Tamandua tetradactyla: one gene and its partners. The protein of the gene in region 2 interacts with the protein of the main gene of each other region in a biochemical or structural test. Links are inferred from orthologs where the notes say so. Each region holds a gene or a part of one and is shown on either strand. Other genes may lie near its edges.

Region 1 (7,077 bases), on a different chromosome or scaffold from region 2:
TTGTCCCACTTCTTAGGACTTCTTGGGATCCTTCCCACTACCCTGACCCTTCAGGTCTAACACAGGTCTATCAGGCCCCTAGTTTCTACTGGTTTCTTGATTGCTATAGTCTTCCTATCAACTCCCCAGCATTGCCTTTCTTCTCATATGGAGCCCTCTGACTTGAGCCCAGTCCTGTGGCTCCCTGCTCTAGAGAGCCCACAGTCCCAGCTCCCTGAGGCTCCACTCTTCTGGACCTTGCTATACAGGGCAGTGTCTGAACTGTGGCCTGTAGTGCCACTATCCAATTCAGTACCAAGTTCAGGGAAGGCTGGGCGCTGGGACTTGGGAGCTGGGAGGGGCTTGGTGCTCCGAGGGGGTGGCACAGCATAGTCGTCAGTGGCAGGGTTGTAAGGGAGTTCATAGCCCTCCTCCTTCACCCGAGCCTGGCACCACCAGGCATCCTTGGGCTCCTGCGGCAGGTCATAAAGGCCCCGGGGAGGAGCTGGGGCCAGGCCCTCAGGTTCATCATAGATGGGGTCCTCTCTGGGGTCCCTCAGCTTGGCCTTCAGCAACTGCTGCTGCGCATGCTCGTACAAGTCCCAGTAGAGGGTAGGTTTCTTCAGCTGTACCCCCTCCCTAGCACAAGCAAGGGTGCTGTCCAGGGGGTCTGAGTATAAGGAGTCCCGGGAAGGGCCTGGAGGAATGCGCAGGGAGTCCATGGGCTCAGCGTACAGGGCTGGGGGGCCTCCCAGGAGCTCCTTGGGACCAGGAGGGGAAGCCAGCTGCCCCCCTGTCCCCTCTCCTTCATGGGAATCAGTACTCAGAACATCGTGCCCCTGGCCAGCCCTTCCCTGGGCCTTCTGCTGATGGATGGCGGTCTCAACTGCCTGAAAAATGTCATTTCCCTGTGCCGTCTGGAAGGTGAAGGTTCCAGGGCCAGAGGGGCAGCGGCGGCCGGCCTCAAAAGAGAACATAACCTGAAGAGGGTATGGAGAGAAGCACATCATCAGAGTCTCAGGGCCTGAAGTAGCTAGAGAATCAAAGAGACTACCTGGGGAGGGAGTGGACTCAAGGGGTAGGCCAGGTAGGAGGAGCCCAAGGGGCAGAGTTTCCCTCCTTCCAGTCCTGCCCCATCCCATCCTCAGCTGGGGAACCCCAGAAGCCCTTCCCCATAGCCCCCTCCCCGCCCCCACCTTGTCTCGACCATAGCGACGGAGCAGAGTGTAAGGCCAGGAAAGGAGCGGCTCCAGGCTCTGGCTCCCAGACCTCAGGGTCAAGAGAGTCAGCTTCTCAGCCTCAGCCCTCAGCACATAGGAGCCGTGCAGGCCACAGCGCTCTGCAGCCTCAGTCCTCTGCACAGTCACCCAGAACTGGGATCCTGAAAGGAAGAGCCATTAGATTCAAGGGGCACCTGGTCAGAACTGGGGGTTGGGGGGCTGGTGCAGGGAGTGTAGAGACCAGAAAGTATTGGGGAGCACAGTGCCCAAGCACTCACTCCAAGTCAGACTTCCGGGGCTCTCCCCCTTCCCCCTGGGTCCGGGAACCCTCTAATAACCCCTTTCCAAAGTCACCCCTTCTCGCGATCCCATTTTTGCTTCTCAAGCCTCTACCTTCCCAGGAGGAGCTATACAGAGAGTTCTCCAGCATCTCCAAGGCAGAAAGCTTGGGTAGATTTTCTGCAGGCGTCGGAGCCCAGCTGCCTTTCTGTGTAAAGAAAGAGTGTCCAGGACTCTCCCTAGCGTGGCTCCCGGGGTCTGAGCCAGCTGAGACCTCTGCTGCCGTGACCCTCATCCTGCCCCCCGCCTCACATCGTCCCTTGGGCCCAGGGCCATTCGCCCCAGACCCCTTCCCACTCCCCGGAACCCCTCACCGGAAAGGCGTTTCGGCACAGTGTCTGCACCCAGGCGGCGCTGGACGGCGCGTCAGCTGCCAGCAGGTGGGAGCGCTGCGCGGTGTCCAGGCGGAAGGCGGCGGCGCCGGGCTCAGGGGGGCTCTCCACAGCCACGGGGGCCACGCTCACACACTCCGCCAGACGGATTACCTTGCAGTCCAAGCGGCGCGAGCCCCCCCGGCCACCTCCAGAGCCCGACCCCTTGTGGTCAAAGAACTCGAGCCGGGCTACGCCGTGGGGGCTGGCCGGGTAGAGCACGGCCCAGGTCTTTTTCCACCTCTGCGGAGAAAGCGCGAGACTCTGAGGAGTGCGCTGCTTATCTCGAGCGGCCGCTGGCCGAACGGGAGAGGAGGCACTGGCTCAGCTCTGGGGCTTCCCGACTGGGCAAGAAGTTTCCCTAGGAGATCGCCATTCCGGCTCCCCAGGAAGAGGGAAAGCGTAGCCCGAGACCCGCAGACGCTTCTCCCGAGTGTGCAAAGCAACTTCGGAGGAACGTCGCGGGACTCTCCGGGTCCCCGCGCCGCACTCCAACCCGCTGCCCACCCCTCCCTCCTTCTGGGCCCTCTCGCCCACCTCTAGCCCTGCTGGGGTTTAGCGTCCCCAGCCCCTACTACCTTGGTCCCGAAACGCTGACTCTGCAAAAACAGAGGCCCTTCCATCACCGCCTCGTCCATGGCCCCCGGCGGTTCCTTCCGCGCTTCCTGGCCCCGCCGGCTGGAGGCGGGGAAGAGGCGGGGCCGGACTCGCCCGGGGCGGACCACGCGTGGGGAGGGGGGCGAGAAGCGAGCGGGAAACGGGATCCCCAGAAACACCCGGCGGCCGCCCTACTTCCGGGCCCCAACCCATAGCCCTGGGTGGGTGGGGGACAAGTAGCTCTACCATGAGAAATTTTGCGGTCTCGGGCTGAGCGTAGGAGCTGCGTGTGACGTTATGATCCCCTCATGACATCAGAGTGATGGCGTGACATCACCCCGAAAGTGGCCGCCGGCACCCTGGGGCACAGGAGGGGCCACGGGCATCCTCCCGGTCTCAGTTTCCCTGCCCCGGCCCGACCCTAACCCGGCCCGAGCTGAGCTGTTTACGCTCGGCCGAGCCGGGGCTGGGGGCGGAGGGGCAGGGCCGGGGCTGGAAGGCTTCGAGCCACAGCCCCGAGCCGAGCCGGGCCTCCCGTCGCCACCGGGCTGCTGCCGGGGGCTGTCGGTGGCCCCGTGGCCGCTTGCGTGTCCAGATCCCTGACCGCAGCTACCCGGCGTCCAACCGGCGAGTAAAGAAAGCTTCTTTGAGCCGACCGGGAGGCTGGGGCTGGGGCGCGGCGTCGGCCAGTCCCGCGGGGAGGGGAGAGCCGAGGGAAGCCGAGGCGGGGCCAGCGAGGGAGGAACCCCGGGAGAGGGTGGAATGTAGGCGGGCTCCAGGGGACATGGGCGGGACTAGCGGAGAGGGGGGGGCCTCCCCTGGCCGAGCACTTTTTTTTTTGGAAGTCTTAAGACAGAACCCCGGGACCGGGACTCTTCATCCAGCCCCTAAGGCCCCGCTCAGCCAAAGGTAGGGGGTGTTAAGCTGTCCGCTGAAGGAAGAGGAGTTGAGGATGGAGAGGATGGTGAAGGGACCAGGGAAGAGGAGTGGCGTGGGTTGGAGTCAAGGACAAGCCAACCAACGGAGGGTTTTATTATTATCAAAGGGGAGATACAAGAAAAGTGGAGAGAAGAAGCAGATGGTGGGGGGCAGGGGTTCCAAATAAGGCAGCTGAGAGGGCTCTAAGGCTGGGGGGCTCCTCTGTGAGGCCTTACCCCTGGCCAAAGTCCCCAGAACAAAGCTGTCTTGTTGGGTTGTTTGTCTGGGTTGGGGGAAGCATGCTCTGGGGGCCCCCTGGCTGTGGAGGGTCTGTTCACGGCCCCAGACGGAGAGAGGGCCTTGGCTGCCGTGCAAATCCGCGCCCTGGCCTCTGGTTGCCGGGTGACAGAGAAGGCGGTGTTGGCCGGAGGTTGTGTTGGCTGGAGGCTCCGACCACCCCACCCCATCTCTGCCCTGCGTGAGGCCTGGCCCTCCTGGGCCCCCTGACCTGATGGGACATCTGAGAGCCCATGAGCCTGGGCAGAGGTGCAGAAGTTCCCTGGATGGTCTGGTCTCTGCCCTCCCTGCAACCACATCTTCCCCAGATGGGACTCTGCTCCGCTGCCATTCAAGGGATCTGAGACCAGAGGGTCTCTTGGGCCCCAGTGGCCTGCCTCTCTCCACAATCAATAGGGCTGTCAGTCTGTGTGACTGACGGAATAGGGTCATCTGGGTTCCTCCCACATCTGCTCTTTGGCTCCCCCCTTAACAGCTGCCTGTACCTTTCCCTATTTCTCCCTAACTCCGTGTGCCTAGCTCTCTCCCTGTCACATTCTTTCTGTCTTCACTGTCTCTCTCTTCCGCTGCCTCTTTCTGTTTGTCTCCCTTGCATTCCCACAGTTTCCCTTCATCTCACATCCTGTCTGTCTGGGTCTTCCTCTCTCTGGGTCTCTTGCTCAGACTCCGTCTCTTTATCTTGACCTGTCCCTGACCCTTGGTCTCTAAAAAAACAATCACTCTTTTGACCTCTGGGTCTCTCAAACTGGGGGGTGGGAGCAATGGAGGTGATGATGGCAGAACTAGGGAAAGGCACAGTGGAGCGTTACAACTGATTGTGAAGATTTATTATTTACACGGGGTGGGGGGGGCAGCTGTTTGCTCCCTCTTCCCCTCTCCCTCCATCTGAGTCTCCTAGTCACTCCTCTTTGACTGTGTCTCTGCTTTTATTTAGAGTGTGTCCCTCTTACTGTCTCCCACAGTCCCTGAGCCTCTCTCACCACGGTTTCTCTGTCTCCCTCTTTGGTCTTATTCAGGGTCTGTTTTTCTTTCACGACATCTATCTTTGACTCTGGGCCTCGCTCAGTCTCTGTTTCTCTTCCTCCCTCTCTCTCTCTCTCTTTTTCTGGGGCACGCAGGCCTTCTCTGCCATGCAACCTGTCAGCATCTGGCAGTGGAGCTCATGGGGTCTGCTGCTGTGCCTGCTGTGCTGCTCGTGTCTGGGGTCTCCCTCCCCATCCATGGGTCCCGAGAAACGAGACGGAAGTGAGGGGCTACGGTTCCGGCTGGCTGGCTTCCCCAGGAAGCCCTACGAGGGCCGTGTGGAAATACAGCGTGCCGGCGAGTGGGGCACCATCTGTGATGACGACTTCACACTGCAGGCTGCCCACATCCTCTGCCGGGAGCTGGGCTTCACGGAGGCCACAGGCTGGACCCACAGTGCCAAATATGGCCCTGGAACAGGTGAGCAATGCTTCCAGTGGCCTAAATGCAGGGAGAGGGAGTATCAGATAGCACAGTCACAGAGAGGGACACAGGGAACCAAAAACACCCAATGTCAAGAAAACCTATGGATGACAAGCCAACACAGTCACTTCCCAGGTTCATGTGACTTTAGGTTGTCAGTTGCTTTCTCTGAGCCTCAAATGTCCCAGTTGCAAAGTGACTAAATGATCTCTAAGTTCCTTTCTGCCACAAAAGTGTGTGAGTCTACAAAGCCACATGCCATGGAAGCCCAGATACAGGTAGCCCTGTATTTCAGTACAGCTGGTTCCGTGGGAAGGTGAAAGCCGGCAAATGATGTCTGGATGTCCCAAAGCCAGAAGGGATCACAAATACATACTGCAGCTACAAAATCAGGTTACAAGCCAGAGCTGAAACCAACAAATTGGAACCGAATAAGGACAAACATGAGGCTTAAGACAGGTATGGGGAGGGGGGTTAAGAGCAATTTGAGTGAGACCTGGGAATACCTGGACTGTCTGGGCCCACTGGGATTGATAGGCAGAAGCTAATGCAACCAGCAGCCAATGCCCCAGTACCCACTGGCTAGACCACTTCGGGAATAAAATGTCTACTTGTGAGTGCCACATTTTAAGAGAGACACTAGAAAATGGAAATAACTTTTTTGGCAGCCAAGTTTTAAGGAGGAATAGCTGAAGAAACCAGGGACATTTGGTCTGGAAAGAAAAAGCCTTCAATGACAATTACAAGACGGTTGTCTTCAGTTGAACAGGGCAGTGATGTGACTGAGCGATTTTTCTGGATGGCATCAAAGGACTGAGACCTAGTGGGGGAGTCATCAACAGTCCCAGGAAGTCTCTGATGGGGGTAGCAGCCAGGTGGGGCGGGAGGAGGGTATCCAGCAGAAGCTGAGCAAGCTCTATCAGTGGGTGCGTAGGGGTCTCTGCACACCGGCTGGGACGGACGACCTTTGATGTCCTGTCCAATTCTGAGAGGAAATCAGTGCTGTTCAGTGCGGGGTCCAGCCTGAGAAGAACAAGGGGCAGCATAGTGGCACAGGCAGGGAGGCACGTGGGAGGATGTGTGGCTCCAGTAAAAGGATCTTAGATCTCCAAGCCTCACAGACTGGGCTCAAACACCTGCCCCCATCTACTGGCTGTGTGGTTGGTCTTAAGCAAGTTACCTAACTTGTCTAAACCTCCATTTCCTTATATAAAATGATGATGGTGTCTTCCTGGCAACACGGTTCCTAGAGTGATCATATATGTACAGAACCTAGCAGTGTCTGACACTCACTGGGTACTTGATTAATTGTAGTCATCATTGACCTGGTAAGGACTGATCTGAACTTCACTGTTGACTCAGTTTTTTATTCACCCTACTAATTTCTTGAGTAGGCCCAGATCACCACCAACTCTCTGGCAACTGCGTGCCCCTTGCCTATTTCGTTGCAGGGTTCCCTGTCCCTCCCCCCCCACCCCATCATCTTCAAAGAAAAATAGGATCTTCACAGCCAGGTGGGAAACCCCCAGGCTCAGTATTTCTAATACCCCCACCCCTCCCCCCTGCTATCTCCCTCAGCCTCTCTCAGTCCCTTCATCTCCCCTACTACAGGCCGCATCTGGCTGGACAACCTAAATTGCAGAGGGACAGAGCAGAGTGTGACTGAATGTGCCTCCCGGGGCTGGGGGAACAGTGACTGTACCCACGATGAGGACGCCGGGGTCATCTGCAAGGACCAGCGCCTCCCTGGCTTCTCAGACTCCAATGTCATCGAGGTCTGCAGTTCATCACACACACACACACACGCACACGCACACACACACACACACACACACACACACACGCTTGCGCACACATCTAGGATAGCCAGACAGGGAAGGCTGTGGGTGGTGATATGTGGTTAGGGCAGA
Region 2 (7,609 bases):
TGTTGTACATGTTACTGCATAATTTTTTTAAAACACTTATTAAAGATAAGTTAGTTCCTCTTTGTTTTTAAGTTACTGAGTCCTTACTTCGGAGTCTAAAGGTAAGCAAGTGGGAAAAGCTCTAACGTTGGGGCCAGAAGACGTTTCTATCACTTGATTCCGTGCCACTGAACCAGGCCTGTGATCCTGACCCACAATCTCCCTGTCCAGCAGGGGCCAGGAAATGTTCAAGTGAAACCGAACTCCAGGAAGCTTCAGAGCCCCTGGCAGGCGAAAGGGTTAGCCCATCATCACTAAGGAGAGGTCTGAGATGCAGCGCTGTTGTCAGACAGGTCACTAACCAATGTCACGACCGATACTGTCCGTGAGCCTTTAATATTAATCCTAATACTGAGTATATGGAGGCAATTGAGATAATCAGTACCCATGAGCCTAAGTGTTCCAGGATGTGTGAATGTACACGTTGTATTCTCTGTGCACAGATTTAAAATTCATGTAAGTTTGTTAACAAATAATATGTTTTCATTTGGTTCTGTATATTAACCTGAACCAAATGGAACCCCAAATGTTTTGATGATTTATTTTTTAATACAAAATGCACTTCATGGAATACATACATATATAGAATACAAACATATATACGACTTGGAAGTCATAAAACTGTTGAACCACTTTGCTGCTTAAAGGGAGCCACTGGAGATGGTGGAGGTGGGGGCACACGACAAAGTCTCCACACACCTTTGGAATATCAATGACTACAAGATCAAGTGGGTCTTTTTGACTGGATAACCCCACCTTTGCAGGACACACCCCCAAATCAAGACCTTCCTTCTGGTGGATCAAGAGAGACGAGCCCTGAGTAGAGATTCCCACTTGTAGTAGAATTTGAGGTAACTTAGAGTCAACAGGTCCCCCAAATTCCCATTTTAGAAACAAGACAGAAAGGGCCAAGAGACTAAGGATGCCTTAAGGAGCAGCCTATTCACCCGTCCCCATGTGTCCTTGACCTTGCTTGAGGCAGGCCCTTCATTCCTTCTTTCAAGCCATCCCTATTGTGTACCCAATGTGTGCAGGGCACCAGGACAAAACAAATGTCACTCCTCCTTCCATGGAGCTTCCACATGAAAACAAACCATGAGGTGGCTTTGGTTCCCACCATGAGGGAAATGTTGGCTAATTAATGACACAACCTATTTATCCCAAATCACAGTTCCAGCAACGCTGGATGAGACCAAATCTCAGTTTCCTGGCTCCAGTTTTCTTTTCATTTATAACAGCTCCCCTCTACCCTTTAACCAGAAAGAGAGATCCCCACCCTACATCCAAAGAGGATCAGCCATTAAGGGCCCCAGTCATAAAATTACTTTTCTTCAAGCCTCAAAACACATAGTGCCCAGTGAAAACCAAGGCACTGACTGATTCTCGCCCTTCCCCAGCAAAGTACACCTTAGAATGGACTTGAGTCCTTAGTAAGCTCCTTTACTCTCCCAGTGCCTGCTAGGAGTTGGCCCTGCTTTAGCTGCTGACAGTACAGGAAGAGCTTCCTTGCCTCCTGTACATGACCTCTGCTGGGGGCAAACAACAAACAACAAGCTAAGTCAGCCTTCTTTACTGGCTAGTTCTTAGAGCATCAGATTCCTGGTTCCTGCATTGGGACAGCAAATCCTTTATTGTTTTAAGCAAATATTTTGGGAGAGCAAAGTCTCAGCATGGAAGATGATGGGTACATCGGAAGAGACCTTGGTTTAAAACCGCCAAACTGTAAAGATCCAAAGAGCCTCATTTTTACAGACATATTTATTTCCAATAAGTAGTAATAACCATGCCACCTTATGGAATGCATACTGGGTACGAGGGGCTTTATGCTCCATAGTTCAGGCGGTAGATGGTTTCCTCTGACAGATGAGGAAACCAACAGGGAATTTCAATAATGACTCCAGTTCACCCACAGCTAGGAAACTGCAACGCCCGCATTCCAGGCTTCTGAGATGGCAAAGAAGTTGGGAGGATTTGGGATAATTAAGACTCGCACTCCGGATATCCAAAGAAATTCCACTGGACCACGCGGCTATGACATGGGCCCCTCCAGATGCAAAGCCTCCGACAGTCCGCCAAGATAACAAACGACAGTAGGAACCGATGCTTACACCCTTCCCCCAAGGCGAGGAAAGCAACCCCTGAATTCTTAAAATAACCATCCGCTTCCTCCCTAACGAGGCATGGGGCTGCCCATCTGCAGGCGGAGAGGCATCGGTTCAGTGGGAGGGCGCGCAGTAGCTCCGCAGAAGCCCCTGGACGTCCCGCTCCTCCCCGGAGTCACCAAGGAAGCAACTGCCCAGGCGGCCTGGGAGGGGGCGGGCAGGTCGAGGCTCTCCTCTTACCTTTAGAGACCCGGGACCCAGCGGGGAAACCCGATCACGGCATCCGAGAAGTCCCCGCCAGGGTCCCACGCGCGCGCCCGGCCCTCGTGGAGAGGAGGAGACGCTTGCGGCGCGCAGATAGTGGCTGGACAGGGGACAGCAAGCGCCCCCTCCACCCCCATGCCCGGTGCGCGCGCCCACCCTGCGCGCAGGACCTCCCACCACGCCCCTACGCTGCTCGGCTGCAAGACACCTGCCGAGAGCCCGCCCACGTACTGGATCCCCGCCGGGCCACACCACCCACAGATTGACGGCATCTCGGGGCCCCTCACCGGCAGGGCCCCACTCCCGTGGCCCTCTTCGCTGCCCACGCCCGCGATTCCCTTGCGGTGTACTCACCTGCTCGCGGTGCAAGTTGCGAGGCTGCAGCGGCAGCGGCGGAACTCCACGGTGACCCGGCCGCGGAGCGGGGACGCGACGGGGCGGCCCGGCCCGGCCCGCGTGGGGAGGGCGGCGGGCCGGGGCGAGGAGGCGGGAGAGGGGCGCGCGGGTCTGGCGGAGATGACGCCGGACCCCGGTACTGCGGGCTGAAAACTACGGCGCGTCTGGCCCTGAGGCGCCACGGCGGGGAGTGAGCGGCTGCGAGGCCCGGCGCGGCGGCAGAGGAACTGGCTGTCGCTGGGCTTGGCCGAGAGGTCCCAGGGACTTCCTGGTGCTCGGATTTGCATACTGCTCCCGGAGGGCGGGGAAGTGACCGTTTGGCCCCTGCCCAAAGTTTGGGTCTTTGGTGCGGCTGTCGCGCAGTGCTTTAAAGGCAAAGAAACCTGGTGTTCCAGGGCGCAGCTAAGGAGGTTAGAACTTCTCCCTGGAATTAGACAGAAGCAGCTTTCAGGGACCTCGTTTGGAGAGCGGGACTCTGGCTTTGTGGGCACATCCAGGGAACCTCTCGCCTCCTTCCTTTCCCCCCAGCCTACTCTCCGAGGTGCTCCTGGGAACAGATGGGGCGCTTTCTGAACCTTCCCAACATTTGCAGCTCTCTAGAAAAGGATGAGATGTGCTCAGGACTCAGTGAATCTTACTCCACACAGAGTAAGCCCCTTGAGGCTGTACACAGAGGCGTCACATTTTGCGGGAGAAGAAGGAGTTTCTGAAGTTAAATTAACTGGCGAGTTGCTCAGCTCCTCAAAGCCTCAGTTTCCTCAAGGGAAAACGGAGGCAAGAATGCCTAGCGCTCAGTTACCGGGACGATGAAATGCCTTACGCCAAGGGCTTGCTCTGTGATAATTTCATTGCCACTGTCTGCATGGGAGCATATAGCACCACCGTCCTTGGCACACAGCTGATGCCTAACCAATGTTTGCTGAAAGAACGACTGCCTTTCTAAACTCAGAGTTCACCTCAGCAAATGCCATTTACAAATCAAGATGTGAGATTTGTCTCCATCATAGTCCATGTTATAAGCGGTATTTCATTCCTTAGGATCCCTCGATTGCACTACATTGTAGAATTTTCAAGGAAATATATTGGAGAAATGGATCTTTGCATTTATAATAGCAAACACTTACATAGCGCCTAATGGACTCCATACAAAGTCCAAAGCATGTTGGACATACTACCTTCTCTCCTTCACGGTGTTCTCAAGAGACTGGCCCCACGGGAGAATGTGGTAGAGTAGAACACCCTGAAACACAGTCTACACAGCAGTCATTGGTTACTAATAAGAAAGTACTAAGGTTTGCAAACTACTTTCTTACAAGAATAAAAAGAAGTTGCTGATAGGTCTGATGTTCACTGGTAGGCAGTTCAGTTTGTTGCCCACTAAAGAGAAGGGGTGGAGTCACCCTTGGGAAGGTGTTGAACATTGAATGAAATCTATGATGGATTCTTAGCAATTCACTACTCAGGGGTTCATTTCTAGACTTCCTCCAAAATGACCTCTTAAAATATTGGCCCCAAATTAAAATGTTTACATAAGGGAATCTTATCAGTGAGTCCTTGAGATTCTTTGGCTAAAGGCATGTGGCAAGCAAGAATAGAGTACACAAATGTTAGGCTTTGGTTGATCTCCCTGGAATGTCCTGTCGTCTCTGGTAAAATGTGTCTTAGAGTGAAGACGAAAGCATCCTCAGACAGATGCAGGCTTGCACCCAGCTCCAACACTTCTAATTCCTTGTACTTGAGGATCCTAGCTGAGCTCAGCTCTTTCTTCTTACCTGGGGGGAGGGGGTGCGTCCATCCCCACCTCTCAGGCTATATTTGTGCATCCTGAACACTCCCTACCCATTTTCTATCTTCATATTTCTTCTTTGAAGTCCCATGTACATTCCATTTCTTGGAAAGTTAGATTTAAAGCCCTCATTGGTGACCTTCTTTCCAGGACACCTATTGCATTTATACTGTGCAACATTGATTTTAAGCTTGATTCAGGTGTTTCTTGGCATTGCTTGCTTTTGTTTCATGGGTCAGCCATCACCCCCCCCACTACTGGAAAATAGTCACCTCCTCTCAGGAAGACATTGTTTCTTATATTATGTTTCCCCCTGTACCTGGCAAATGTTCTGTTAGTTGCTTTAAAATTGTTATTAGTATGGATTGATCAGTTAATTGAGTAACTGATGGGTTTCAACAGTGTTCTCTAAATTGAGTACATTATGGAGGATGAACATACAGAGGGAGATTGCATATCCACCCAGGCTCCCTGGATAGGGTGAAGGTGGGGGACATCCTTTAGTAGGAAAGAAGGGGGAAGTGGCGAAAACGGCATTAGCCATTTTATATATTATATATTCTTATATATATATATATTATACATATATATACATATACATATATATATGTAGGTATTTTATTTCCCTCCTAGTGGATGATGGATATTCTTATATCCATGGATATCCATCATCCATTCATATAAGAATATCCATCATCCACTAGGAGGGAAATAAAATACCTGCCTTCAAGTACATTGTCCTTTATCATGGAGCCTGTTCTAGTTTGCTAGCTGCTGGAATGCAACACACCAGAGACAGATTGGCTTTTAATAAAAGGGGATTTATTTCATTAGTTCTTCAGAGGAAAGGCAGCTAACTTTCAACTGAAGTTCTTTCTTGTGTGGGAAGGCACAGGGCGGTCTCTGCTGGCCTTCTCTCCAGGTCTCTGGGTTCCAACAGCTTTCTCCGGGGTGATTTCTCTCTGCACTCCAAAGGCCTGGGTTGAGCTGTGAGTGCAGAGATGAGGTATGCTGAGCTTCTTGGGCTGTGCTATGTTGTGCTCTCTCATTTAAGCACCAGCCAGTTAAATCGAACATCATTCATTGGGGCAGGCACGCCTCCTAGCTGACTGCAGATGTGATCAGCAACCGATGAGGTTCACATGCCATTGGCTCATGTCCACAGCCACAGAACTAGGTACCTTCACCTAGCCAAGTTGACAACTGAATTTAATTACCACAGAGCCTCACCACCCGATGACTGTTGGCAGCATTTACAGCCAGGATGAATGATTTTGGTGCGCAATTTGGTGTTGGTCCCCAGGCACCTGGTCCTGCAGCCTTCCCCTGTGGCCACAGTGTGGCCCTTCCCTGGTGACCTGTCCTTTTGGTACCCTGCTGTGAGCCTCCCTCAAAAGGTTCTGATTTCTTGGCCCAACTCAGGAACTCCTGCAAGTTGTTTGCTGGTTGGCTTTGTGGGAGAAGTGGAGGGAATGCTGATGGAACTCTCTGCCTGACTCTTACAACCATGTGGGCCTGGCAAACCCCAGACCTATGGCCCAAGTAGCCAGTAACATAGAGTAGGATGCTCAACTGGCTCTGCAGAAGAATCTCCGGGGAGCTAAGATAGCCCCTTGCCCAGGCCAGACCGAGATCCAGTAAGTCCAAATCTCTGGGGTGGGACCTGGCATCAGAGTTTTAAATTACTCTCGGTGGTTCCGATGAACAGCCAGGATTGTGAACCCCTGGGGAAGCGCATCAATCAAACAGCCTGGGGGAATGTGGGGTATATTTACCAAGCAAATGAGTTTCAATTTATCATCAGTGTTCCTAATTAAATACAATAGAAGCCCTCTCATCTGATATACTTGGGACAGATGAAAAAAGTTGTTTTAAGTGAGGACGTCATAAAAATATTAAAAAAAAAAAAAAAAACTGTGCTAGGGACTGAATCATGTATTCCATAAAAGATATGTTCAAGTCTTAATCCATTTTCCTCTGTGTGTCAACCTATTTTTAAATAGTATCTTTGAATATGTTAAGGTGGTCAAGGTGTGGACTCATTTGTGAACAGGATCTTCCTCTTTAAAGATAGAAGGCTGAATCAGGGTTGGCCTTACTCCATATATCCATAATTGAATATGCGAGAGCAGCCAGAAATCAGAGAAAGTCATAGGAAGAGACCAACAACATGGCCATCACCAGAACTCTACCACCTCCAAGAGAAGCATGTCCTTGCTGCCTTCTTGATTTTGGACTTCTGCCTTCAAAACTGTGAGACAATAAATGCTTGGTATTGAAGCCAAGCTGTCTGTGGTATTTGTCATGGCAGCTTCGGCAAACGATGTACCTTAAACATTTTACTTGAATTTAGCTATAAGATAATTTCTTTTCCTTGCCAATCTCTCAGGTAAGGCCACTATGTTTCCTTTGAGCATTAAATCCCTAATTGACACGCTGCATCATCTTTCTTACCTGAACCACGGCCAGGATACTGCAGTTCTGTTTGCCATTCATAGCTTTGCAAAGCTATCTCACTGCTCAATCTCTGAGTCTGAAGCTTCACTCATACCTAATTCAGCAGAATTATTTGCTCTTCCATTTTACCCATGACTGTTTCCAAATCTTCAACTTTGCACAGAAACAATTTTTTCACTCATTTTAAAAGTTTCTATTTAACTCAATCACGAAATTGCCATAACAGGCACAATTGCCATAAAAACAACTGGCTTTTGGGAAAGTATGCAAGTGTTCCAGACAGTGGAGTAGTCCCTTTGCTAGAGGGCTGGAGCAGTACTTTGACAGGGGAAAGTTTGGGAAACTTCCCAAAGTTGAAGGGAAGAGGTTAATTTCTGAGGCATCCTTATTAAAGTCTCCTAATCCATCCTTACAACCACTTATAAGTATGGGTCATTTTCTACATTTTATAGATAAGAAAACAGTCTCAGAAAGTCAAATGATTGGCTCAAGTTCATCTTGCTGAAGTGGTTTGGGCTGGACTCTATCCCTTTCTGTCCGGCTGATTGTCATCAAAGTCTGGCTT
Region 3 (7,936 bases), on a different chromosome or scaffold from region 2:
TGTGAATAAGACCTTTCCTCTCACATTTCTGCTAATTTGTGTATTTTCAGGTTTTTTTTTTAATCTTTACCAATTTTGATGGGTGAAAACAGGTATCCCCTTGTTTTCATTTTCACTTCTATATCTTACTCACAAAGTTACTAACTTGATTTCCATGTGATAATTCACCAACTTCAGGTTCTTCTGGGTTGATCTAGAGAAGATCTAGTTTACCATGGCAGGTAGACCTGACTCATTTTTTTCATTTGACTTTTAATCACTGAAATGACTCCAGAGAGTGGGGTAGAAATTAGTTAGTAGTAAAGTAACTGTTTCACCAACCACATTCCATTGATTTTTAAAGTTATTTCTATTTAGAAGTCCTCCAAAGTCTTCATTTTTTCTAACAGATATTTCTACTCTGCTTGGGTACCTCTGTACTTTCTAACACTTAGGGCCTCTGACCCAGCACTGGGGACCAGAAGATCCTCATGTTGGCTCCTACAAGAGCTTACATTCTAGGGCAGCAAGATATCGGGGTCCCCTGCAGTAGGAAAATCCTGAGAAACCAGAACAGACTCCATTTAATGAATGGCTAGTACTGCCTTCTCTTTTCTTCCCAGTTTCTAAGGACGAGATTTGCCTATTGTCTTTGCAGAGGGATTCTACTTTTCATCTTTATTTCTCATTCCCTGGCTATCACAGAGAGACAGGAGTTTCCCTATTTCACAAGGCGTCTGTTCAATGGACTAGAAAGCTTGTAGGTGATCAGGCTTCCGGAGCCAGTTTCCTTCTAGTCCCAGTTCCGAAGAATGGTTTTGAGCATTGCACCTAATCTGTCCGGGATTTTGTTTCTCTTCTGAGAAATGTGATGGCTGGTTTGGATAAGCTCTATTCTCTTTTCCAACTCTAACCAAATTTAAAATTCAATGAATCTTAATTTAAGACAAATGGGTAATATCCAAAATCTATCTGTCCTCAGCTTCCAAAATTATGTCCTGACACCTCCGGTCCCTGTTCAGCATCTTCACCTCTATCCTGTCCAGGGTCTTATACAAAGGATTTTCCTTTATTAACAAAGGCAGCGCATGACTTTGAATAATGCCTATTCTTTGGCCAAACATTTTAGTGACTGCAAAAGAACCATCCTAATTGAGAAATTGATTGCCTACTTTTTAAAAGCTTACTTATATACTATTAAGTATTTTAAAAACAAAGCTTGGGGGGTGTAAGGGTAATTAAGTGGTAGAATTCTCGCCTGCCATGCGGGAGACCCAGGTTCGATTCCCAGTCCATGCACTTTCCAAAATACAAGCAAACAAATAAAAATTCAACAAATAATGCTGCAATAACTGGAGACTCACATGGAAAAATAATGAGATGTGACCCCACAATATAGGACACAAAAAATAAAACAAAGCTTGACTCTTGAATGATCTCTTTTACAGACAGGACAATTCCTAGAATCATTGCTCACTGCCTCCATGTCCATCTCTTTCCCTAAGATTTACAGCCACAACCTTATGCACCTGAACCAGAAATCCTGAGAACAAGAACAAGCCTGGAGCCAAATGCTAAGGGAACAAAGGGCCAAGGTTATGAGTGCCCATTTTAAGTCAAGTGGATACTATTTTGAGCTGTGTGTAGAGTTTAGCAACACTAATTTTGAACAATGAAATTCATTTGGCATTTTAAAGCAGCTTTCATAATGACCAGAGGTTTCGATTTAGCCAGAACCCCTGTCGTAGTATACATATACTCAAGAATGTCAACAAAATTCAAGGCTTTCCACCGACGTGGCTCAATGTTGAAGATTATCTCTGACAACTCAGTGTACATACATGAAAGGACTCACCTATTTGCTTCTCCAAAGATGATGTTATATACCTTTGGTTGGTAGACTGGAAAGAGGAAAAGAGAAAAGCATAATAAATGTAGAATCCTTTAAAAGGAGACAGGATTGTCAAATAAACCAAAGCCAAGAAAAAGAATCCAAATGCCTCAAAAATCTCTCCTAAAACCAGACTTTGGCCAAGCACTTGTGGCTGTCTGCACCTCAGTTCTGTGATTTGGAATATTTTTTAAGAATTTTCAAGATTTGGTTTGGCCATTTGCACAAATCCACTTTTAAGCAACACTCAAAGCTCTGTTTCTTTCTTGAATCACTAAGTGATCCAGCTGGCTGATTTGCCAATTAAGAAAGAAAGGAAGGACTATAATGCCAATCCTATTTTGGTGACGATACTTCACAAGAGAGAAAAAATTCCTTTCACTCTAATGTGTCTGCATTTCTCTACCTGCAGAAAGGAATGACTAGAACAACCCACTTCTAATATAGGAAAAGGGGTTGAAAAGCACTTTGCAAGACAGACTTGCTCCATGTAGACTGCACTAGCTCTCCCCGTCCCACCTCAGCAGAGCCGCCTTAGGCCCAGTGACTCCAGCACAAGGCAATCCACAGCCCAGCCTTACCTCTCGGAGTTCCGCCACCTCCTTCTGCAGGTGGAAGAGCTGAAACATCCCCAGACCCAATCCTACTAGGGCCGCAAACACCATGAAAAACATCACGAGGAGACATAGTCCTGTGTTGTGGTGCCTCTTCCTTGGAGGTGGCGGCGGTAGTGGAGGCAGCTGTGGAGGCGGCGGCAGCGGCGGCGGCGGCGGTGGCGGTGGCGGCGGCGGTGGCCTCCTGTGACCAGGCCTTGTGGGCACAGAGGATGGACAGGGGAGAACTGACCCTGGCGGGGTCCAGGGGGAGCTGGCACTGCTGTCCACCCAGTAGATTTGGGGATATGGATAATTTAAGGGCTGCTGCATAGCTGCCAGTGACCCAGGTCTGCCCCTAGGAAAAGGATTTCACTTTTTCTCAATCCCCTGGAGGCTATGGTGTCAGCAGTGGGTATTCCTGTTGCTGACTGCTCGAGAGAAGCAAAGCCAGAGCCCTCTTTATAGAGTTTCCACAGCCAAGGGAAACACCTCTCGCTCTCGTTCTCTTCTTTCGTTCTCTCTATATGCTTCTCAGAGAGACACCCACTCACATTGCCTCTGAACCTAAGAAGACTCAAGAGGCTCAAAGCGAACCCCTGAAAGTTTCCGCCCACAATTTTCTGATGAAAACCTTCAAAGCCCCAGTTGCTGTCGCTGGGAAACCTAAGATGCTGACACTTTAGGCTTCTCTTTTCAGGCGCTGCTAGAGAAGGTAAACATTGGGGGTCAGCCTGCAGGCATTACCCACTGCCTGACTTCAGGGAGAGGGGTCATGGGGCATGTTCAGGGGTATTGAGGGGTGAGACCCCTGAGTCGTGGCCAGAGGAATCACTTCCACATCTTCCCTTCTGCATAAGGAAGTCCTCCCCCAGCTGCCACCCCTTCCCCTAACCCAGGTTCTATTTACCCTGCTGTTTCAAAGCAACATAATTTTGACCTCAAAGGTTTGCAGGTTTAAAAGCCTGCTCCACCCACTCTCTAGAGAACAGGTCAGAAGTTGCAAACCAGTTTTTGGAACCTACAGATTTGTTTGTTGTTACCTCCTAATGTTTTTCTTTTAATTGGTTGTCCACTTTTCACATTGTGGATTCCTTAGATAGGGCATGGGTACTCCAGGTTGCCACACTCACCGGCCCCTACCATGCCTCACATACCACCCACCAGGGAAATGGCCTTCCCGATCCCTGCAGGAATTTCTGTTTGCAAACTCTGTTAGGTTTCCAGATAAAATACAGGACACCTGGTCAATTAAATTTCGGATAAATAATGTATCATTTTAAGTATAATTATGTTCCTGATATTGCATAGGACATTCTAGAAAGTTATTCATTGTTTATTTGAAATTCAAATGTAACAGAGTCCTATTTGCTACTGTTATTGTCATTTGTTTCATTGGTCGGTTAGTTGGTTTTAGCTAAAACTGACAACTTTATCTGAGCAAAGCTAACCATCAGGGACCTCACACTTGCATCTGATTTAAATAGTATTTGTATACCAATAACTTCCAAGAGCACAACTGCAGTCCCAGTCATTCTCCCAATCCATTGGAAGGCTCTGCTTTACAAATGTTGTTAGTTTTTATATTATGCTTTGGGATTTCTGTGACTATTGCTTGGTTGTCCCACCCGCACCAAGCCAACACCAAATATAATTTCCTTGCCACTTTCTGCCCTCCACTCCCCCCCATTCCAGTCCAACTTGTTTCTCCTGAGGCCACGTGGACAACATGAACTCCTCTCATTTCCTCTCCCCAACATTTAACTGCTCTCCCATGACTTTCGATTTGACCTGAGTCAAGTTTCTCACATAGGTGTCCCTATTTTTCCTTCAAATATTGCCCGCAGACTTGTATTATCTCTCATCTGACATATTGAAGTGGCAGTCTAACTGGTCCCCACCGCCACAACCTTTCACAAGCCCAGGTGGTCCTGCAAAATGCTGCAAGAGTGATGCTTCGAAACTCCAATTATCTTATTTCCCTGTAAAACCTGTTAAAAGGTTCGATTGCAGGAGTAATCCAAATCCCTGGAATTGACACACAAGACTCATAGTCAGACTTCAACCACTCTTACTGCCTCTTACTTCTGCCTGCATCCCAGTCTCAGTCATAAAACAATGCCATGATGAGACTGACTGGACTCACTTATGATGCTCTCACTCTCTTTTGGAGGCGGGCAGAGTCAGTGTGCTTTTAAGCTCACATGGTTTTGCTCATAGTCTTGAAAGACAATACGTCTAAAATTCATAAATAATAACCAATCACAGATTTTAATTTTTAGATTTCATCATGTGCACAAACAAAAAAAAAACCTTAAAATATCCTGGAATAACTATAGCAGGAGTTATATAAAACTGTATTTGAAAAACTAAAATAATTTCACTGAAAATGGCAAAGATACAAATGGAAAAATGTGGCACATCTTGTATGGGGAAGATAGAAAGATAGCACTGCATGACAGTTATGAATGTGGTTCAGAAATTAACATGCCTGGGTTCAAGCCCCAGCTCCACCATGCATTAGCTGTGTGAACTGGACATGTCAGTTTCCCTCCTCTGTGCCTGAGTTCCCTCACCTATAAAAGTGAGCATGATCATAATAGTACCCACCTCATAGGGTGCTGCAAGAATGAAATGAGTCAAAGCATTTTATATGCTTACAATAATCCCTGGCAACAAAGTAAGCATTCCTCAAACATTAGCTTTTGTTCTTGTCTTTGCAAATTTATCAAATTTCCCCCAAATTATTCATCTACAGACCTAATGTAATTGACCTTTCTAAAAGGTTCAATAAGGTGGGGATGGAGAGAGGAGCTGCAGGGAAAAGTGTCAAGTCAATGCTTGATATCCAATATCTCAAAATTTTACCTCTAGACTGATGGACCCCTCAGTCTCAGACTAGGATGCAATATTCCTTGCTCTCAAATTTCCAGTATTCTCCAGTAAGAATTATGCTATATGAAGATGCCCACTGACACCATAGTTATTCAATACTGTGCTGGAAGTTCTAGGTAGAGCAACGAGGCAACAAAAAGAAATAAAAGGCATCCAAATTGGAAAGGAAGAAGTAAAACTTTCACTGTTTGCAGATGACAGGACTTCAGTAGAAGTCCTAAAATGTCTATAGCAAATCTACTAGCGCTAATAAACAAGTTCAGCAAACTAGCAAGATAAGATAGAAGATCAACACGCAAAAATCATTAGTGTTTCTATACACTAGTAATGAGCAATCTGAGGAGGAAACCAAGGAAAAAATCCTGTTTACAATAGCAACCAAAGGAATCAAATATCTAGGAAGAAATTCAACCAAGAATGTAAGGGATAAAACTACAAAACACTGCTAACGATCAGCAATGTCATGAGCAAATTGTCAGTAACCTCCAAAATATATTTGTTTGCTTCTAATTTTAATAATTTAAAATCATGGCTTTTACTTAAAAAAAAAAAGCTGCTAAAAGAAGTCAAGGAAGATCTACGTAGATGGAAGGACATATGGTGTTCATGGATTTTAAGACCAAATATAGTTAAGATGTCAGTTCTACCCAAAATGATTTACAGAGTTAATGCAATACCAATCAAAACCCCAACAGCTTACTTCGCAGAAATAGAAAAACTAATAAGCAAATTTATTTGGAAGAACAAGATGTCCAAATAGCTAAAAACATCTTGAAAAGAAAAATAAAGTTGGAGATCTTTTACTTCTTGATTTTAAAGTATATTACAAAGCTACAGTGATCAAAACAGCATGGTACTCAGCTTAAATTCTACTTCCCAGCTGAATGTAATTTATTTCTCCCTCCTTGAAACATCCTGAGCCCTTCACGGGAGCCTGTCTTATGCTACAGCTCACGTTTTGCCTCTTTGGTTACGTTCATATTCATGTCTTATCTCCCCCATTGGATGGAAAGCTTCCTGAGGGTGGGGCCTGCATCCAACCAGCTTCATGTTCCCAGGCCCCCAGCACTATGCTTGGCAGAGCTGCACCAAAACACCACGAGTTCGGCAGCATCCAGTGCCCAGTCTGTGCCAGGCCCCATGCCAAGGACATTACAGGCATTGTTTCCTACTTGTATTTGCAATAAGCTGTTTTTCTCCCTAGTTTAAACATGAGGTAGCTGAGGCCCAGAGAGAGAAGGTCGTTTGACACTAGGCAAATGTAGCAGAAGCAGGATTTGAACCCAGGTCTGACTCCAAAAGACGCGCTTTAAGCCAGAGCTACTCAGTGTGCGATGCGAACAGTTCTGGGTGCCCTCTGATTGCTACCATTGGTGGTAAGATAAGTATAGAATTGGAAAATAAGTGTTTACAAACTTTGTAGCAATTGGGCAGAATAAATTTTATATCTGATGAATCTAATTTTTTATATTGGGCTTGAGTTTTATACATGTCTTTATTTCATTTTCCTAATTCATTCTTATTGTATTTTACAAAATGATCAGTTCATGATGGATTGAAAAATTTTTTAAATTTAAAAATCAGTGCTTCATCCCAGGTACTTTGAAGAGAACCACTTTACACCATGATTTAAAAAGTGGTGGGGTGGGCCAAGGTAGATCAGTGGCAGAGTTCCCTCTTGCCATGCCAGAGACCTGGGTTCATTTCCTGGTGCCTTGCCCATGTAAAAAAAAACAAACAAACAAACTGTGACTCAGCTAGAAGTACAAACCTAACATGGTGGAATTGTAACCCATGTCAAACTCTGAAATATGTTCTACAACTAATCGTGGTTCTGTGCTTTGAAATTTATTGCTTTTTTGTATATATGCTATTTTTTCACAAAAAAGAAAGAAAAAAATTCCATTGTGGTAATAAAAAAGTATTTAAGCTTTCTAACCTCCTATATTCTGAAGCAGCTAGAAAGAAAACTATGAAAGGATCAAATGGTAGCCCATGGCAAACCCTGGGATCTATCCTGTAACTATTTGTTCAAGGATGCTTTGAAAACTATTGCTTTTTTATTTCTTTGCTTTGTATAAATGTTATACTATACAATAAAAAAGTTTTAAAAAAATAAGAGCACACGCACACACAAAAAAAAACAACAACACGGTACTGGCATAAGGATATATACACCAACTAATGGAATTGAACCGAGAATTCAGAAATAGACCCTCTCATCTATCATCTACAGCTAATTGATTTTTTTTTTCCGCTAGTTGATTTTTGACAAGGCAGCCAAGGCACTCAACTGATGGTGCTTGGAGAACTGGATATCCATATCCAAAAGAATGAAAGAGACCTCCTATCTCACATCTTATACAAAAATTAACTCAAAATGGATCAAAGACGTAAACATTAGATCTAAGACCATAAAACTCTTAGAAGAAAGAGAAGGGAAATAGCTTCAATATTTTGTGGTAGGAGATGGTTTCCTAGACCTTATACCCAAAGTACAAGCAATGAGGGAAGAAATAGATAAATGGGATCTCCTTAAAACTGAATACTTTTGTGCCTCAAAAGACTTTGTCAAGAA
Region 4 (7,259 bases), on a different chromosome or scaffold from region 2:
CCCCCCCCCCAAAAAAAAACTAGCCATCTTGTTCACTCCTGTATTCCCAGAACCTCCAATGCCTGGACTATATATTTTTTAATGAATCAATGTGAATCTCACTTTAAACACATTTTGGTGAGTAATGTGAAAATGGTCATACAGTTGGAAATAGGGGACCGATCTCAAGCTATCCTTACTGATTATCTTGGATAGTTTATCCTCAGCCAGTTTCTCCAGCTGGAAAATGGTTGGGACAGTAAAAAAATTACTTCTGGGGCTTGTTGATGAGGATCTGAAATGACCGGTAAAGCCCCTAGCACAAGGCCTGGCACTTGGCCCTGTAATAAGAGATTATTAAAAACTGTTATAAAAGCATTTAAGTATACGATGGTTATAAAGTCATAGAAAAAAGTGAAGTTAAGGTGGGAAAGTCCAGAATGGGATTAAATGAATTATGTGGGATCCATTTATAACATGATGTTATGATTTTCATCAGGATAATAATCTGCAATACCCTGTGTGTCTAGCTGCTGGGGAGGAATGTGACCTCACACCTGCAGGAACAAGAGGAAGGTATGATTCACCATTCCTTCCAAGTTCATCCTGCGTGGCACGGGAGCTGTAAATACTGGAAGCTGTAAATACAGGAAGAGAACCTAGTAGCTGGCACCTCTCCTAACCCTCAAAGAGAAATGTGTAGGGGAGCAGGTGGGGACTGAAGAAAAGGCAGCATAAACCACATCTCCCCGCTTTAACCAGGGGCAGATGGGTAGGGACACACCAAGTGGCCCCAGAGACCAGAAAAAGCAAGGGAATTTCAAAGCTGCGGGAAGGCATCAGGGAAAGAGTTGTGAAAAGTGCTAAATCTACACTCAAGAGTAAAGGAGAAGAATTTTGAACCAAAAGGATCCTTTTTAATGCAGATGCCTCATTGCACTCTTGAGGAAACTGGGATCCCTTGAATTTAAAGGACCTGCCCAAGGACATAGCAGGCAAAGAATGGCTGAGGAAACCCAATCAGACAAGCAGTTCAAGGCTTTTTGGCTACATCACACTGACCCCTCCTCCATTCCCCACCACAAGAGAAAGCTTTAAAATTCTCTTTACAAAAAAGTCTATTGGATCCAGCAGGAAAAATCTGAGGAAGCAGGAAACAATTGATTCACTTAATTAAAAAAAAAAAAAAATGGCAGTGAGTTCTTTCTCTTGTCCTACTCTGATCATACATCTTAACTGAAATTTAAAAGGTCAAGGCACAAAAATAAAATAACCAAGTGTCATTTTAAACTAGGCGATCAAATCGGCCACGGCATCTGGATATTCCCTCCCACCTCTCAGAGGTCCAAATGCAAGGCCTCTCTTCCCCCACAGGAAAGCTCTCACAATGCCTTACAAGACCAAGAGGGAAAAGGCAGTGTCTGGAGACTTTATGGGTAAACTGACCAGTGGTCTGCACAGGGTAACAATAAGTCACTGCGACGCTTCCTTTCGAGCCCTTACATTCCAGTTCAGACTCACTTTCTTATCCGTACATCATCAGGGTAAAGGTTTAAAAAAATGACCGGAGATAGAGGAGGGCTTCAGGGATTTGGGTGACGCTCGCGCACACCAGTGACATCCAGAAGGGAAGGGGGAGGGGGGAATCAGCCTGAGGGGACCCAGGAACCTGCGAGTCCTACACTTCACCTTCAGACCAAGTTCCCACGCGGATGTAACCGGATTTCCTCACAGCTTCAAAAATCAAGTAAGATCTACGGTAAGTTCCATTCCATCTCCAACCATCCCACGTCACGCACCCATTAAGTATAAATATTACGTGACAGGGGATGTTACGAATGTCAAAATTCCCGAGGTGAACTGGGATTTGCATTCACAGGTCGCAGACACCGAGGCGAGGGCTTCCAGAGTCTCGCTAGCCTGGTCGGGAACTCTGGCCTGGGCACACGCGGCGGCCTGGGACAGCGCTGTCGCCGTCTCTCCCGGAGCAGGAGGCAAACACAGCCCCCAAGTCGCTCTCGGAGCGTGTGGCAGGAATGAAATCGCACCGCGACAGAACTGGGCGAGCCTCCCGCACAGCATTTACAAAACCCAAAAGTCTGCAACCTAGCGGCTGCTTTCCACACGCTCTGCCCAAGTTGTCCCTGTCGCCGCCACCTCCAGGTTGTCGGGGTCCGACCCCAGAGCGCACGCCGCACGCTTCCTTTGGAAAACCATAACCCGGGGGGTGGGGGGTGGGGGGCCGGGAAGCGTCACTAAGGGCCGCGCCGCGAGCAGAGGCGGCAGCGGGCCCGTCCCCACCTCTGGGCACAAAGAGCGCCACACGTTGGAAAGGAGCAGTCGCAGAGAAAAGAGAAGGCTCTCAAACTTTGCCCTCCACGCGGCTAAGAACATGCAGGTCGGTCCTCTGATGAACCGGTCACACACACGCAACTTTTAACAAAAGGAAGCTGCGGCCGCGCCTCGCACGGTGGAGATAACGCGCTGGGTGCTAGCCTCCAAACCGTCCTCTCCTCTGCCACCCGCGCACCCTCCGCACAAAAGAAATCCCAAACTCGCGTGCAGCTCGACTGCCGTCCGCCTTCAGCCTCGCTCTTGCCCAAGTCCCCTCGCTGCCCTCATTCCCAGAAGACCCCTCAGCTCAGCGCCCCACCACGACCAGCGACTGGAGGCTCCTCGCACAGGTGAGCGAAGCAAGGCGCAGGAGAGCCCTGGGAACGCCTCGAATCTTCCCGGAGTCTCTAACACCTGGGACCAGAAGGGCCCGCGCCCACCTCTCCAGACACACCCCAGCAGCCTCAATCCCTCGGGGAACACTGGCTGCGGTGGGGGACGCGGCCAGAGTCCCCACCGCCCTTCCCCACCTGTCTGGACGCAGAGCAGGAGGAACAGCACGCAGAAAAAATCCCAAGCGCAGCGAGCGCCTCTCATCGCGGAGGCTTGGATCGGAGCTCCGTACCACGTTCCTCCTCTCGCCCAAGTGTAAGCCGCGCGGCAAAGCTGAGCCCCCAGAGCCGAGAGCTCTGAGGGGCAGCCCCTCCTCCCAGCGCCCTCCCTCTGCGCGCCGGCCACGCCCCTCCTCGCCTCCTCTCCCTCCCTCCCCCCTCGCTCTCGGCGCTTCTCAGCGTCTCTGGCCCTTGCTTTTTCGACTAGCTATCCCTGGTGGGGGGAGGGGAGGGTACGCTGGTCTACGCCCCCGGGTCTTGACCCGAGGGCCTCTGCATCTCCTTCTCTCCTCCCGCGTGATGTGGTCTGGCCGCTAAAGGTAGTGCCGAATCGAGGGTGGTGGTGTTGCCTGCGCGCTCTGAGAAGCCGGGCACCGTGCGCACATTGGAGCACCAGCTTGCCACCTGGCAGGTGTTCCCCAGACAATAAAGATTGACCGCAGCCCCTTGTGCATGCTCACGTGGGAGGGGACTGATCGCCGTTAACCCTGGAAGTGTTAATGGGACGCGAGAAGAGATTAGAAAATTGGGCAGCGGCATTCTTCTAGCGTTGCGCCTTGGCACCGCGGTAAAAGGCTTGATAGAGGGTTTAGGTAATTCTTTATGCTTAGTTTCTCCACCTGCTAGGTAACCTGTAAGAACAGTTGGTTTCTATTGGTCGACGTGGCCTCCGTCCAACAAACCCCAGCCAATACTTTCTTGGAGACTGGGGCTTTTGAGCCAAGTGGAGCCATTTCCGAAGTTTGTTTTGGGGCCTGGGTTTTTAACACCTTTTCGCCAATCGCTGCGCGAAGCCCTCTGGCCGCCTTTTTTTTTTTTTTTTTTTTTTTTTTGCCCGTGTACGGTTTCTCTGTCTTGCTAGCACAACAGTTAGAAGGCTGAGGATCCCTGCGTTCCTCTAACTTAGCTGCTCTACCCGGTACCAGGAGCGAAATAATAGTAAAATGATAATCTTTAAACCAGGTACCATTGCATAGAACGTGCTTTCCTAGCTGTTTATGGTGGCAGTCCTTGAATGAAATGTAGCGACAGTATCTGATTAGGGTTATATCGTTCTTCCTCGCCAATAGTACTTCATGCTGATATACTTATTTTAATTCTCAAGTGGCCCAATCTCACACATTAAAGGAGACCTGCCATTTGAGCCCATAGTATAAGACTGTCTCTAGGTGTGGTGAGCTTTCCTCATGCCTTCTAATAAACGAGTAAAACGCCCCTCCAGAGAGCTTAAGAGTGAAAAATAAATGGGAGGGGCCCATCAGAAAAGGGGATAGAATAATTTAGATTTACCTAGACTCTCTAAAGTATCATCCAAAATTTATAATTACCCAGATATTCAATTACTATCAAAAGCTCTATTTGATACTGAAAGGATCTAAGTTGGTTTAAGAATAATGACTTTTAACACTAACCACTTTAAAATTATCACGACTAGAGGATGATCAAATGACCAACATGTACTGCCTCTCTAAATGTATTTATCCATTAAACAAGCATTCAGTGTGTGTCTTCTGTGAAGCAGGGAGGAGCTAGGCACAGGGAGGGCAATAGTTAATAGATTCCATCCCTGCCCTCACCGTTCTGATGGGAACCTACACCCTAATCTCCTAGAAAATGGTTCAAATCTGACAGCTGTGAGAGAATGGAAACTCAAAAGGTCTCTGTTTTGCTCTGGCCCATAGACCACATTTTTTTCTTAAGATAGCAGAGATAAAAGATACCATTAGAAGCAATCAAAAGTTTCTCAAATCTTGATTTATTTCTAAAATCTATTTTGTAGTGAGAAAAAAAAAGTTTCTATGAGTTAAAATATCAACATTATGCCTGAGAGAGAAAAATTTACAATTTTCTTCTTCAGTTAACTGATCCTGGAGAGGATAACAAATCTTCAGAAGAGTGGATGAAATAAATTTAATTCTAGGCAGGAAAGATTCTATCAGGAAAAAAATCAGAATATAGGAATTATACAATGGTGAACTGTCACTCATGTTCATCCATTTATTGAGCATCTAGGTAGGCACAAGACCGACAAAAATGGAGGAGACAAAGTCCCTGCCCTGGGGGAATTCACAATCCAGCTGGGAAAATAGCCTCCCAAACAAGAAACTGTAATATCTGCTAACATGTTCAGCCAGTACACACCTATCTGGCCATATTGTTTCGTAGAATATTGAAATCTTTCTGTACTGACTGGGAAAAAGCCACTGAATTAAGCACCTCCTAAGTACCACCTACCCCCAACCTTCCCATAAGACACCCCAAATCTCCTTAGATCCAGCAATTAAAGGTCTACTGCCAGACACAGCAGCGCTTCCAGTACCTGTACCTTTAAGGTTGTTCACTATTTTTGATAATATCCCCAGCCTGCTATATACCAAGAGGAAACATATATAAAGTGCTATGACTATATTATATATAATATACATATGACTATGACTATATTATGTTAATTATATTATAGATCAGCACTCTCCAATAGAACATTTGCCATGATTGAAATGCTTTATATCTCAGGAAGGATGTACACTCATTGGTTAGTGTCCATACTGTATTTTATGATAGCTTTGGACCCCTTCATGAGTTATTCTTTGTATATATTGTTCTTTTTATAATCATATTAGTGAGGACTCTTTGCTTGATGCCCAGTGCAAACTGGGGGTAAACAAAGAACCCTTAAATCAATTGGTTCTTATAAGTGGAAAACCCAGGGATGAAAGTGCTGATTCCAGACTTTCCTAGATCCAGGGACTCATAGTCATGAGGACTTGAAAAGGTGTGTGGGTATGTTTCTCCATCCTCAACTTTTGGCAATACTTTCCTCTGTCTTGTTTCACTGTCCTCGCATGCGTTCAGGCTGGGCATTTGGCTTATCCCATATTACTACCAGTGGAAGCAGAACTTCTTTGGCCTCATAAACAGCTCCTATAAAAAGTGCTGAAACTGAGTCTCATGGACCTGACTCAAGTTATGTGCCCATCTGGGACCAGTGATGGAAGCCAGAAGGATGGAATATGATGACTGGCCTGGTCTGAGTTATGCACCCACTTCTGGAGCCAGAGGTTGGAGGTCTACTTCATCCACACCATGGGGCCTAAGAATGGGGGGAGGGGGATAATTATGTCCCCAAGAAAAAGGGAAAAGGAGGAATAATGCTGAACAAACAGAACAAAGGATGTTTATTGCAGTCTCACACAGAAAAAAATTTCTAACTTGAAAAAAGTTTTATTTCTGATCATAAAAGTAAAAATGTTTACTGTAGAAAATTTGGAAAATGCCAAAAAAATTAAAAATAACAAATCAAAGAAAGTCGATTGTGATGATAAATGCACAGCTATATGATGATATTGTGAACCATTGATTGTACACTTTGGGTGATTACATGGCATGTGAATATATAATATATCAATAAAAGATAAAATAGCAAAGCAAAGCAATATCACCCAAGATATAATCATTGAAGAGTTCATTTGGATATGTTTCTTTCTAATCTTTTTTTCTGTTTACGTGTGAGGTGGTTTTCTCCCCCTGCATAATTTAAGACCTTACTATATTTTCTGATTTTCTATCCAGTTTTTGTCAATGTTTACAAGTTTTCTTTTTTTAATTTATTAATTTATTAAACATAACATATGAATACAAACATTCTTACCACATGATCATTGCGTTCTTGATATATAATCAATAACTCACAATATCATCACATAGTTGTATATTCATCATAATGATAATTTCTTAGAACGTTTGCATCAATTCAGAAAAAGAAATAAAAAGACAACAGAAAAAAATTCATATATACCATACCCTTAACCCTCGCTTTCATTGATCACTAGAATTTCAATCTACTAAATTTATTTTAACATTTGTTCCCCTTATAATTTATTTATTTTTAATCCCTATGTTTTACTCGTCTGTCGATAAGGTAGATAAAAGGAGCATCAGGCACAAGGTTTTGACAATCACACAGTCACATTGTGAAAGCTATATCATTATACAATCATCTTTAAGAAACATGACTACTGGAACAGAGCTCCACATTTTCAGGCAGTTCCCTCCAGCCTTTCCATTACACCTTAACTAAAAAGGTAATATCTATATAATGCATAAGAATAACCTCCAGGGTAACCTCTCAACTCAGTTTGGAATTTCTCAGCCATTGACACTTTATTTTGTCTCATTTCACCCTTCCCCCTTTTGGTGGAGAAGGTTTTCTCAATCCCTTGACATTGAGTCCCACCTCATTCTATATCCACTTTTCTTACTACTTATATCATTAAGCATTGTCCCAGATCATTAAAAAATCCTTGAAAATATAATTTTGATGGCAGTATAAAGTTT

The links.
Region 1: of the proteins of LYN (region 2) and DOK1, one has a biochemical effect on the other in vitro, tested with the Homo sapiens proteins (2 studies listed by BioGRID, with this or other methods). The link is inferred for Tamandua tetradactyla from reciprocal best matches to the Homo sapiens genes LYN and DOK1.
Region 3: the proteins of LYN (region 2) and FASLG form a complex in vitro, tested with the Homo sapiens proteins (2 studies listed by BioGRID, with this or other methods). The link is inferred for Tamandua tetradactyla from reciprocal best matches to the Homo sapiens genes LYN and FASLG.
Region 4: the proteins of LYN (region 2) and KIT form a complex in vitro, tested with the Homo sapiens proteins (2 studies listed by BioGRID and IntAct, with this or other methods). The link is inferred for Tamandua tetradactyla from reciprocal best matches to the Homo sapiens genes LYN and KIT.

The regions. Positions count from the first base shown.
Region 1 is NC_135343.1:48,440,429-48,447,505, reverse strand, and holds the start of DOK1 (docking protein 1), read right to left. Parts: upstream 3,016-7,077; 5' UTR 2,548-3,015; coding exon 2,488-2,547; intron 2,153-2,487; coding exon 1,853-2,152; intron 1,687-1,852; coding exon 1,593-1,686; intron 1,361-1,592; coding exon 1,176-1,360; intron 960-1,175; coding exon 144-959; 3' UTR 1-143. Other genes in the region: LOXL3 (lysyl oxidase homolog 3), read left to right, coding at 4,852-5,164, 6,779-6,942. UniProt on the Homo sapiens protein: DOK proteins are enzymatically inert adaptor or scaffolding proteins. They provide a docking platform for the assembly of multimolecular signaling complexes. DOK1 appears to be a negative regulator of the insulin signaling pathway.
Region 2 is NC_135332.1:99,478,460-99,486,068, reverse strand, and holds the start of LYN (tyrosine-protein kinase Lyn), read right to left. Parts: upstream 3,009-7,609; 5' UTR 2,760-3,008; intron 1-2,759. UniProt on the Homo sapiens protein: Non-receptor tyrosine-protein kinase that transmits signals from cell surface receptors and plays an important role in the regulation of innate and adaptive immune responses, hematopoiesis, responses to growth factors and cytokines, integrin signaling, but also responses to DNA damage and genotoxic agents.
Region 3 is NC_135330.1:26,485,833-26,493,768, reverse strand, and holds the start of FASLG (tumor necrosis factor ligand superfamily member 6), read right to left. Parts: upstream 3,009-7,936; 5' UTR 2,797-3,008; coding exon 2,452-2,796; intron 1,881-2,451; coding exon 1,835-1,880; intron 1-1,834. UniProt on the Homo sapiens protein: Cytokine that binds to TNFRSF6/FAS, a receptor that transduces the apoptotic signal into cells. Involved in cytotoxic T-cell-mediated apoptosis, natural killer cell-mediated apoptosis and in T-cell development.
Region 4 is NC_135345.1:54,927,182-54,934,440, reverse strand, and holds the start of KIT (mast/stem cell growth factor receptor Kit), read right to left. Parts: upstream 3,014-7,259; 5' UTR 2,911-3,013; coding exon 2,844-2,910; intron 1,052-2,843; exon of another isoform or gene 479-1,051; intron 1-478. UniProt on the Homo sapiens protein: Tyrosine-protein kinase that acts as a cell-surface receptor for the cytokine KITLG/SCF and plays an essential role in the regulation of cell survival and proliferation, hematopoiesis, stem cell maintenance, gametogenesis, mast cell development, migration and function, and in melanogenesis.